Drosophila melanogaster: one gene and its partner. The protein of the gene in region 1 interacts with the protein of each later gene in a pairwise test. Each region holds a gene or a part of one and is shown in the gene's direction. Other genes may lie near its edges.

What was found. The genes of interacting proteins can lie anywhere in the genome.
Region 2: the proteins of pio (region 1) and CG14830 interact in a two-hybrid assay, tested with the Drosophila melanogaster proteins (one large-scale study listed by BioGRID).

The regions. Positions count from the first base shown.
Region 1 is NT_033778.4:24,579,628-24,585,558, forward strand, and holds the start of pio (piopio), read left to right. Parts: upstream 1-1,617; 5' UTR 1,618-1,741; exon of another isoform or gene 1,742-2,213; 5' UTR 2,214-2,451; intron 2,452-5,931.
Region 2 is NT_037436.4:7,260,034-7,266,259, reverse strand, and holds the start of CG14830 (uncharacterized protein), read left to right. Parts: upstream 1-2,339; 5' UTR 2,340-2,517; exon of another isoform or gene 2,518-2,628; intron 2,629-3,164; 5' UTR 3,165-3,311; intron 3,312-6,226.

The DNA.
Region 1 (5,931 bases):
AAGTTTCTTGCAACAACGATTGTGATTTGATAAAAGACCTGGACAATCTACACACATTGAATTTTTCTCAGATTTAATTTGCTAGTAGCTCCACACGGCTATATCAAGGTTAATACTATAAATTCGGCTGGAGTTAATAAATTTTCCGGACGCCAAACAGTGACAGTTACCCCGGCTACGTAGTCCTGAATCCCCCGGCCGCCTTTTGGGAATCGGCCTGGTCCCTCCGGAACTCCATGTCCTGTTGCTGTTCAATGGGGTGGTTTTCGGTTTGTTCGATTGTCCCCCCGACGACTGTCGCTTGGACTTCCCCTTTTCGACGGATTGAGGAGTTGGAAAATTTTTTATTTAAATTTATTTATAGTCAATAAGGTGGGCAGGCCATGCTCTTAAGAGCTTGCTTAACTATTTTAACATAAATATATAATAAATAAATAATACATTTTAAATTATTTAAAAAATTTCCACTCATAAATATATGCTTATATTTTATTTGTGTAAAGTACCTATAATGCCAAATGGTGAGGGATTTACCCATCCCAGTCCTTGTAGAATTCTCTCACGTCTCAAAAGAATAATTCGTCCACTTCATCCAAGTTTTCCCCACACATGTATAACCGAAACAGAGGAACACGCATAATAATAATAAATATTGATAGAACTAAAGTATAAACAGCGACGGGCAGCTTCAAGGGAAATACGGCAGAAAGTAACAACAACTCGGGGTCTCCGAGGTGTCACAGCTACCTGTACTCGCACCTGGGATCTCGAGGTTGCAAGGGCGCTGGGTTCACAGAATGTAGAGACAAGTTCAAGATTTATGTGCCTACCGAGTAAAACAAAAGAAGAGCAGCATGTGTCCCACAGAGAAGCCTCGTCAGTCCAAGCAGTCAGCCCCACCAGTGGCCATATATGCCGTCATCAAGGTGTTCTGGTGACAGCCCACACACTGGCCATAATTGCACCGATCTGCTGCCAAGTTTGAGCAGAACCTGACTTCCAGTTGCGAGCGCACAGCTGTGGCCGAAAGCATGACGTTGGCCTGGAGGCGCTCCAAAGACACTTGGATACCACCTGGATACTTGGAAACTTAGTCTAGAGTGCTTCGAATCAAAGCATTTTTATAAATTTTAATCACAAACAAACATTAAAGAATATGGCAAAAAATATTTAAATTTAAAAAAACCTTAGCTAGGGAATATAGGGTTTTTTGTTGAGGTTTCCAGCCCAATGTTTCTCTATGTGCACACTTGCGATATGGGATGACCGCCGCCCGACCCTCTAATTATGCCGCACTCATTAGAAAGACAATCTGGACCCGCAGCCGTAGGTGTATTAAAGGGAGCCAGCGGAGCGTGGCCGCCAGTCCCGCCGGTCATCAAGTGCAGCTCAGCTGGACGACGTGTTGCTGCTGTAAAACTGGCAGCGACACCGCGGCCACCGCCAATTGAGGCGATACTATACTATGCCTTAGTGAAGAGATCGTCGGAAGAGCGCACATAGACTTGCCAATTGCTCCGAAAATCCCAGAGCGCCGCCACTCCGAATCTTGGCAAGACCGGTTGTCGGCCATCGTCTTGGCGTTTTCGTCGGAGTGCGAGTGGCTCGGTTTCGGGCCCAGTCAGTCTTGGCCAGGTCGGTGTGCGAGACACATCCACAGCGCTCAACGAACCTCTATCCCATCGATCCCATCGCTTCGATTTCGATTGCTATTCCGATTCGTTTCGATCCCGAATCGTGCGTGAGTTTTTCGAGTGGCGTAGCTCTGCGGTTATGGCTCCGTTTACCCGGTTCTAATTGGATCGTGCGTGTGGATTTGAAACGGCTTTCCGTGGCTCCAAGAGACGTTCATGGGTTTCCGAGATTTGAAATAGTTGCGGTTGTTGCTGTTGTGCCTGTGATGTTTCTGTCGTGATTTTCTCTGATTGTTGTTGCCCTTGGGAAGCGATTAAGCTCGACGGGTGGTTGAACCGGGCCAGTAAATACGTGCTGAATGATTTGTGAATCTTTTGAATATTTCGCGTTGTTTTCTGGGGAAGTGCAAAAGTGTCGGGAAGTTTGTTGCCTCAGTCTTTTGTGTTGAGACGGCGTAATAGCAGCAGCAGCAGCAGCAACAACAACAGCTCGGATTATTTGCCACAATTCGCACAAAGAGCAGCTCTTAGCGTCTCTTTACCACTCTTGGCCAACTCTTAAATGTGCAATTCCCGCAGCGTTAACATGTAAAACGAGTGTTGGCCACAAAACGAAATAATTATAGAGGAAGCCCGCAAAAAAAAAAAAAAACACTTAGGAAGTACATAAAAACAAAATCAAACTAATGTGAAACCAAAATTCGTGAAAATATCTAAAATCATCATCGTTCCGGGCAACCAGTTTAAGGCACAGCGAAATCGCAACAACGGACACATAACAAATTGGATTACGCAAAAAGGGCGAAGTTGGCTAGAGGTGAGTGTTGCGGAGTTGCTGTTTGAAAAGCCATAATCGAATAACCAGAAACCCGAAACCCGCAAAAAGAAACAGTTAAAATCAGGCAGAAAATCAAAGCTGTGCCGTTTGCAAAAACAAACCCAAAACAGCCTTAAAAGATGACTTCATAAATCGCCGACGCTGTGGATGTGCCAAAAATCCATCAGCCAAACCGGTTGGCTTCACTTCGCCTCGCTCGAAATTCGGAATTCACGGAATACCAATACTTGTACTCGGGGGAACAAATTGAAGAAGCGTTGCAATCTGTTTTCTGTGCAAATGAAATGGGCCTTATCTGAAAAGCGGCCTGAGAAGCCATCTGTCCGGGGATCTGAACCTGTTTGCCAAGGTTGCCAGTGGCCGATGTTGGCTGCCAAGTTCGCAGCCAGTTGCATCATCTGGGGACACAAATATGGCCGCGATGGGGTTGGCCATCGGCAATTGGCTATTTGAGTAGCCACATCACGGACATCCGTCTTCCATCCGCTTTTCCTGCCTTCTTTCCCGTTTTTCAATGCCCATTTCTGGATGCGCACCGCATAAGTAATGTGTCATCGGGCTCTTGGAATCAAAGGTCCATTCACATTTACCCCCACTCCGTGTGCGGCCATTATAAGCCAGAATCTGTTGCTAATTGGCTGACCCAACATTACCCACATGAGCTGAGACCGGGTTCTTCTCCTTGTGGAACTTTTAGCACTTCCACGGATCACACAGCCATAATTATGTTCGTTCCATTGTGTTCGGGTTGGCGTCTAAAGAAGCAATTAGAAATGTTGATTGATGGAGAGATGAACCCCGAACCCATCCCGATCCGACACTTGCATCATCTTTGGACTATGGGAATGTGATGCACGGCCTTTCCCTTTTCGGTGATGCATGGCCTATTAATTGGTTAATTTGTGGTTTGTTAGCCATCAAAATATTGTAGTTGGCCAATGTAATGGTCTTCATCTGCGTTGAATACAACGCCTTGACTAGTGAATAATGGCTCATCCGCCAAAGGCGTTTATCTCCAACTTCTGTTGGATATTTCCAAGTTCTCCGGCATTCTCGGAAAGCTTTGCGTCGAGGAACGCCAACGCAAGCGTAAAATTTGTATAATTAAAAGGCGAATCTGCGCCCGAGCTGCTCGAATACCAGTTTCTGAGCCATCGTGTAGTTAACTTGTTTATATAACAGCCAGACAACAACTCGCAGTGACCTTGAAGCGGGCACAAAATAAGGTAAAGACGGAAAATATGATTGTACGTATAATTTCGTATTATTTTGCTGCCTGGCGATGTGTGTGCTCAGCTAAGTGAGAGAAGTGAAGACATATGACGGATTTTTGGGGGTTTATGAACTAAGCCGAGAAATGCGTGTGGGCTTGATTGCCAAAAGCTGTGTGATTGATTTATAATCTCCCGCGGAAGAACTAACAAAGAAAGCGCCAAAAATGGTGAGGTCATTCAACCAGGCCAAGACCTTTTCAGCGTTAGATTTCCGCCTGCTCGTTGGTATTGATTTACAGTTGAAACGAAAGACTTAGGCAACGAACTTCGCGACTGCATTACTCATACGACACGTTGGCGCTCAGCACTAATTATGCAAAAACCCAAATGCTAGCGAAAGGCGTGCCCCAAACCCAGCCGTGAGTCACAAGCTTCGCTTGCCCCCCGTTAAACGGACACTCTGCATTGGGTTGCTTGTTTGTTTTCGGCCAAAATGAAAAGTCGTCTGGCTAGTTGATCCCCCACTCTCCAGCCTCCTCCACCACCACTGGCGAATTAAACCAACATTGGCAAACTCAAGCGGACTTAAATGCAGGCTTTTACCTTAGATCAACCCCACGCAAAACCCCGCGACTGCAGTCGACCGACCACGAGGTTGTTCAATTCATTCCAAACACTTTCAAATCCAAGCCTTAAAAGGGGAGTGGCAGGCCAAGACTTTTGAACTGCGGACTGTGCTCGAAGGAAGTGGGCACAGAACTGTGGCCAATACTTGGTGTGTTAAGTTCTCAGACACTAAGATATAAGATAAATAAATTATTGTAATATAGTAGCGATCGTCTATGATATCAATGTCTAAGTTTAGCATTTATGACACTACAAGTGATTTATCTCAGTGAAGTTCTACGCTCATTAACTTCAAGTACGAGACTATTTATGGTTTAGAGGAAATCCTCCTCAAAAGTTAGTTACTTAAGTACTGAGCCGAGGAAACTTGCATAAACTTATTATGGGAAACGTAAGGTCAGCTCGGCCTGTCATTAATAAGCAATGCCCATTTCTCGAACTCATCAGTCGAGTCCCTCATCACAAACAATAATTAGCTTTAAAAAAAAGGGGGCTCAATGAATAAGTTTTAATGATGAATTTGGCTGATTCTGACCAGCAGTAGCTGCCAATGTACGAGCAGCTGGGAGGCTGGATTTTTAGTACTTCTAGACGCGAAACCCCAGCCAAGCAAAAACGGAACTACAAAACTAGTTTCAGCTGTGCCTTTGGGCTGAAAGAAAAAAAAACCATAAAAACAGCGGGTAACAATGGGCGCCAGTCAAAAGGCAAAAAGCACGGCAACAGCAAAAAGAGCAAAATAAATGGCTGAAACTGAAATATTGTAGACCCGGCTGATAAAAATCAAACACATTCATGTCTACAGCTCAGCTCAAGTCACGTTCAATGCGAATTTCTTTGCCGTTTGTTTTTTTTTTTTTGCTATTTCGTACATATTTTTTCTTCGTGGCAATAAGCAAGCCTGCGGCCACAAAAATTAGGCGTCAAAATGGGAGAGAAAAATATATTTAGGCAGCGCCGCGGGCCGAGCGATTGTGGGTGTCCAATCAGCGGTTTGCATATTGGCCAGTTGGTTTGAGCCCAATTGGACATCTTGACAAATGGCAGAGAAGCTCGCCATTTGCAGAGAACTTACATAACTTCGTGACAGCAGCAAGAGCAGTGACACGCAACGCATTGGGCAGTTTTTGGTCTTAAGCCCAAACTTGGTTCGCACAGTGTGTGGCAAGACCCGATGTCTCCACGCTCCAGTTTGATGCGTGTGGCAACAACCAGGTCAGCGCATTTGGCCAAGAGGGTGGAGTTGCGTTTTTCCACTTTAAGACCCCCTAATGATGCGCGATTTTCGAGTTCTCACATTGCCTTAATGGCCAATTGCCCATTAGAGCCTGGTCGGCTGTCGTTGGCCCAATCTATTAAATCTATAAACGGAATCGGCGTTGGCGTTTATTGCAATTGGCCAACAGCAAATTAACAGCATTGTTAGCTCATTTGAGGCGAACAATGGCTGCGGCGAGACAATTGCACTGACCTTGGGACAATCGCCGGGTGGCTATAGGTTCGTTCCGATCCGCTGGCTCTCGGCTACCTACCTGACTAGCTATCAATCCCCCATAAAGTGCCAGCTAATTGCTGCATCTGAAGTCGCAATTTAAAATTCTAATTTCCAGAAACAAAG
Region 2 (6,226 bases), on another chromosome or scaffold:
TCAACAAATGCTGCAGAAAATAAAAAAAAACATTATCAAATTCAATCAATAAATGTCAATGAATAATTAACTAGCAAGTGTCTTTTATTCAGCGTGCAATTCGTTGGAAATTCAAAGGGGTTCCAAAATAGGTGGGAAATGGTAAATATGGAATGGCTATGAAATGGAATACAGATGGTGCATTTCAACTAACTGTAGACGACATTTTACGTAGTGACGAAGCGCACCAATTGACAAGCAGAAATCAATCATCACTTCTATCCGTTTTAATTGATAAGTAATTGCTGCTAGACGAGTAAGATTTGTTATCAGCTTGCAGGTAATTTATTTTTGTTAGTAATTTAATTTTCCAGAGAACTTTCATCTACTGATAAGCTAGAATCAATCCCAACGACAGTCCAAATGTCAGAGGTATGAAAACAAATTGTCGTCTTGCTGTCGGGGTTGCGGCCGGGAAAATGTTTACGGAATTGATTTGAGGCATTATCTGGTGCACGTCAAAGGTCCGGAGTGAAAGTGTGGAAAAGCTTTTATCTAAATTAAATCCCGACACATGCGAACCCGTCGATTTTTCCCAGTCTTTTTTCAGCCATTTTAAGCACATGACGTACGAACGACTTTGCCACTTAAAGGGGTCACCTTAAAGCGATCCTTTGAGACGATACATATGTAAGTGTACATATGTAGATGGTCTCATTGTATTTAAGGCACAATCTAAACTTTTTCACGACACTCACGACTGAGAAATCTGTGCAGTTTTATGCAACTTTTATGACACCAGCCGAGGACGAAAAAACTTTTTACGACTTGCAGTGCCAAAGAACAAACACCAGACCTTCTCGAGCTGCGCCTGATGCGTAAAGTCAACAAAAAGTAACGAACGAACTACTACGAACTACTACTACCCTAAGGAACCGAGTGAGGGATTTAACAAAAAAAAAGTCCATCCACCTCTGCACACTGAATGTGTGTGCAAAAAAAAAAGTGCTGGCAGGAGAAAAACCTGAAATAGACAATGCACAAAGTATGCACAGGATCCTGTTCGTGTCAGAATCAAAGATATCCAACTTAGAACAGGACGACATTCGCTGTACGGAGCAAATAAAAAAATTAGTAAGGATTTGACACGCTGGAGATGGTGAACAAATATTTCACATATCTCTGTTTCAGAGGAAAGTTAAACAACTGCTGGTAAGTACACTTTTCAGTCCAGTTGGAAGCCATATTAAATGAAAATTAAATTTTTAAATAATATATACATTATTTATATTTTTTCAAATTATAATTGCAAAATAGAAAATAAACTAATGCTAACTGCGCAAACGGAAGTTGCACGAAAGTTGTTTGAAAATTTCGCGCAATATTTTCACACAAATGCATACAATGTACGAAAAATATGGCATGTAATATTTTTTTTTTACATGACTGACTATTTTGAATACCATTCAGCGTATAAATTGCAACCTTAAACGTTTACAGAGAGAGGGGGATGTGCGGGGAAAAGTGACCCAGAGAGTTGGGCCTCTGGCCCCATTATCGATGCCACTCATCCTAATGACATGATGCAAATTAAGCCCCCAACTTCTGCCGCCAGCCAACATGACCCCCAATGCTCCAGCCAGCAGTCAAAAGCATTGCACAGTCACGTGCGGCAGCTGGCCAACAGCGGTGCCTGTCAGCCAGTGGAGCCTAATGTAGTAAGCCCCCAATACAGTTCACCTCCCTGTAACCCCTGTAACGCTCCCTCACTACCACAACCAACACCAACTCCTCCCACCACCCACTTTACCTCCCGGTGCACTGAAAAAATATTCATAGGGAGATAATGTGACAAATTATAAGCAAGATGATTATATTTTATGTTAAAGTAAAAGTATCAAAGTCTATGATTTAAATAAAGATAAAAATAAAAAACATCTTTTAAATATTTTCTTATAAAACTAACCATAAGTTTACTTATCATACCACCACCAAAAAATTCTAAACTTCTATCTAAGAATTTCATAGAAAGAGAATCTTTCGTCACCTTTTTTTTCTCTGTGTGCGAATGCAGTGCACGTGTTGCAGAAGTTTCGGTTAACGGTTATTAAATGCAGTTTTTGCAGTTTGACAACAAAATGCAGTCGCCAAAAGTGCAAAGTGCAGATGGTGGAGACCGGCACGGCCAGGCCAAGAAAGCCACAGAGAGTGAGAGAGATGGGGAGAGTATAGTTGGGAAAGAGCCCGAAGAGTCGATAGTGAGGATTGAGTTGGCCAAGAGCGCAACCGGTTCGAGACGCGTTTTAGACCAGTTTAGACCACTCTCACAGGTGCTGGAACATTGTCGCAACTCTCGAGCGATCAGTTTGAGCCGTGATCGCAACGCGTTCGCTTCGATTTTTCCCACCGGACCACGGTGCATTTTGCAATCTCCGCGATTGCCAAACAAACAAAACAAAGTTTTACTCCAACGAAAAAAAAAAAAAAAAATCTGAGATAAATAACGCGCAGCAAAAGCAACTATTTTTAGCGGATTACGTGAGTGTCATTTGAATTTTTTCGACGTGAAGTATACGCCCGATCTGTTGGCGAGAAAAATAAGAAAAAGAAAAGAACAAACAGAGTGCTGGCCAAATTTGCTCGCCATCTGTATGTGTCTGTGTCTAAGCCAAAGTGTGTGCGAGTGTGTTTGTGTGTGTATTTGTGTGTTGGCCAGCTCCAAAACCTGCTGCTATTATTAGCCTTAGCCAAGATTATGGGCGATTTCATTATGGCGCTGCAATTTGCTGTGCCGCCGCAAAAAGCGAAACAAAAATGTAAAACAGTGCCTGGGCCAAGAAGATTTGAGCCGAGTTAGACGAGTTCCGATGTCTTGGCCATTGTGTTTAGGCCGCCTCGCACCGACCGATTCGAGCCAACTTGCGAGAAGCTGCAACGCCTTTCATTCATTCATTCATGGCGGCGCTGGCGATTATATCATTCCGTGTATTAATGTGTTGGCTGCCATTTTGGTCAGAACTAGTAAAGGTTTTTGGCCCACACACACACACACACGCGCACAAGCACATTTGCAAAGCGTCAGCGGCGACGATGTCATCGCCTTCATATTTCCAATTTACATTAATATTTTTCTCCACACAACCAAATCACATTGGCAATGTTTGTTTTCTCGATTTTCGGTGCAGCAGCAGCCAAGTGAAGTGTAATGAAATGTGTACAGCGGCCAAAAACTAACAACCTGTCGCATTGGCTGGCAAAAAGCGTTAACAATAAATAAGCGAAACAATACCAACAGCACGGCCAGTTCAACTGTATAACAATGAGGAGAGAAGGTAAGCCAGTTTTTGTATTTTTATTTATTTTGTAGCCCACAACCATGCCGCGGAATACATTCCCATATCTCTATATATGTATATATGTATATGAAGGGAAGTTGTGTGGATGCATAGACGAGAATACAGAGAGAAAAATCCAAGGACACATGTCTCATATCTAAATTAGATCATCTGAACATAAGCTAAACTCACTTGAGAATATAAATTACAATCAAATTAAAACGAAGTGCTTAAACTTTTAAGTGTGTTCAATACTACTACAATATGTTTAATGATTTCGTTTTTAAATGACTTAGGATCAAGCTGATTTATAACTAAATATTAAAATTCATCTAGTATTTTCATCTTATTGTAGTATTTTTCGGGCACATCAATTTTTCCAGTGCATGCTCAACTCGCTTATTTGCCAACAATTTGCTTTTTGGCGCAGTGTAATTGCATTTCGAGCATCTTAAGACTGCCATCCACCTTCAGTTTCAATTTCCGCAAAACGTTGAACCGAACTCAGCTTTTGCCTTTGCGTGGGTGGGTGATTCCATTGATTACGCACCGGTTGACCCTGAAAGTATCAGCCAAATGTTGGCTGGTACACTGGCCTTATATGAGCACGATTTTCGGTCTTTTGTCGTTCAGTTTGTTCGCCTTTCGATGGCCGCAGGAGGAGTGCTTATGTCATTTGTCAACGGACCAAAAATGATACTCGCTACCGAAATCCGTTGGAAATTCGAGTGAAAAGGCCACTCTTTGGTCATTTGGCAGCAAGACTGCAATCTGGGGAATTGCCTTTAGGCGATAGTGAGACCAGTACAAATGCCAATACCAAATGGATCAATGAGTGAAATTTAATGTGCTTATATGCATTTCATTTATTGCTTTCACTTTTCGCCCGAATGTGACAATCGTGATGGCAAAAGGCATATCGAGGAAATGCTTTGACATAAGCCCTTATCCAACCAGTATTATCATTAAGCTAGGAAAAGCGTTTTCAATGGGCTTATCTATATGGTGTATCTGCAGCTCCCATAGTTACCATAGTTCAGATATGAGAGTAAAAACCCCCCATGTAACTAACCCACTGTGCATAACAGAACTTGCTTTTGGTTTTGGTTTTGCTTGTTCAGTTGGTTGGATTTTTCTTCGGCACTATTTCTTCGTGTCTTCGCCGTTGGCCATGTTTATGCTTAAAAGCCAGCCATGCTTAGCACGCTGGCCATCCAATAAAAGTTGCAGCTAGAAATTCAAAACCAACGCCAGCGGCCAAGTGTTTCTAGTTTTTCTCTTAGCCCCCTTGTTTTTTTTTTTCTTTTGGTTTGATGACAATGTTTTGATAATAATGATAATTTTCTGTGTCTCTTATTGTGCTGGGGTTTTTTTTTCGTTTTTATTTTTTATTTTTGGTTTGGGGTCAACATGAAGTTATGAGTTTCGTGATTGCGCCGAATTCGGTAACAATTAGAGTTTTGGCAAAGATAGCTTTTCAGCTATCAGCTAAAAACCGATGCTCATGGTCAGCAGCGTAATTCGCAAGATACAGGGAAAGTTACGTAATCCTGCTGCGGCTGTTGCGGTTCAGCGCAGACAGGTTTTAAACGGCCAATTTGCAGCTGCACACGGTGCGTATACGTGTTAAGCGAGAAACTAGCGATTCATTGACTCCAAGCCACAGTAAAATTTAACCGAAGAGGGTATATACCCAAATGTATATATGCAAAATACTCATCAGAAAACACAAATCAATCAAAGCTAATCACTTTCGGCACGTTGGTTATATAAAGTCAAGTTACTATACACAAATATGCAAAAAAAAATAAATCAACTCCCAGCTTTCGCAGTCTTACTCATTTTTCGATGTTTGCGTGTGAATCGGAAAGACAACTAAAAACTGAACCTAAAAACCAAACCAACTATTATGCAGGTACGAATTATCCAACCAACTGCAACTTTCATCTGACATTTGAGGCGACTGCATGCAATTGAAATCTGCAAACCAACAGATGACTTGGTGATGGTGATGTCATCATCACATATATGTAATTAATGTCTCGTGTTGCTTGCACATTCATTGCGTGCAAATTATACGAAAAAGTATCCGACATTCAAACATTCAGACATTCAGGCATTCCGCGGTTGCATTCGTGCTATATAAATCAGCTATCGACTCGCAGATCGATGCTAAGTTGAATGCTTATTGAATCAATGATGCCAACCGGTTTTGGCTCCGATTTCTGATTTCTGATGGCTGATTCGATTTTTTAGGGTATCAGTTAGAAGCAAATTATGGGTTTCATTAGACTCTGAACAGCTATTTCAAAGGCCATTACTGGCATTCTTATTATATTGTTTACAACGCTTATGCATAATTCTAAAGAATATTGACTGGTGAAATTTAATTGCCAGCTTTAGGTTGCTAAACATTTATTCAGAAATATATATATATATATAATTGCCTAAGAGCATCTTAATAACTTTTAAAAATCTGTATTAGAAACTAATACTATACTTCTTCTCTAATTCCCACAAGTTTCAGCCCCAAATAAATCCTATCACATTTCATTTGGCCTGGGAAACAATTAGAAGTGGATAAACAATAAACAAAGCTCCATATGCAAAACCTCTTCACTGCTCAATCCATAATTCAATCGGAGGCAAATTCCAAGCCATGGCAACGTCCTCAGTTCCAACATCTAATTGAGTGAACAAGCATTTGATGAAATGTGCCCAAAACAGAGAAGCAATCAAAAAATGGCAAAAGAAGCAAAAGTTTTTTGGCTTCTCGAGTGCCTTAAGCTTAAACAATGCCAGCAAAACCGAGATTCTGTGAGCCACACTTGACATTAAAGCATTTTCTCAGGGGCCACATAATACGCCCCCACAAATCTTCGACGTGGCTACGAAATTATACATGTATTTCG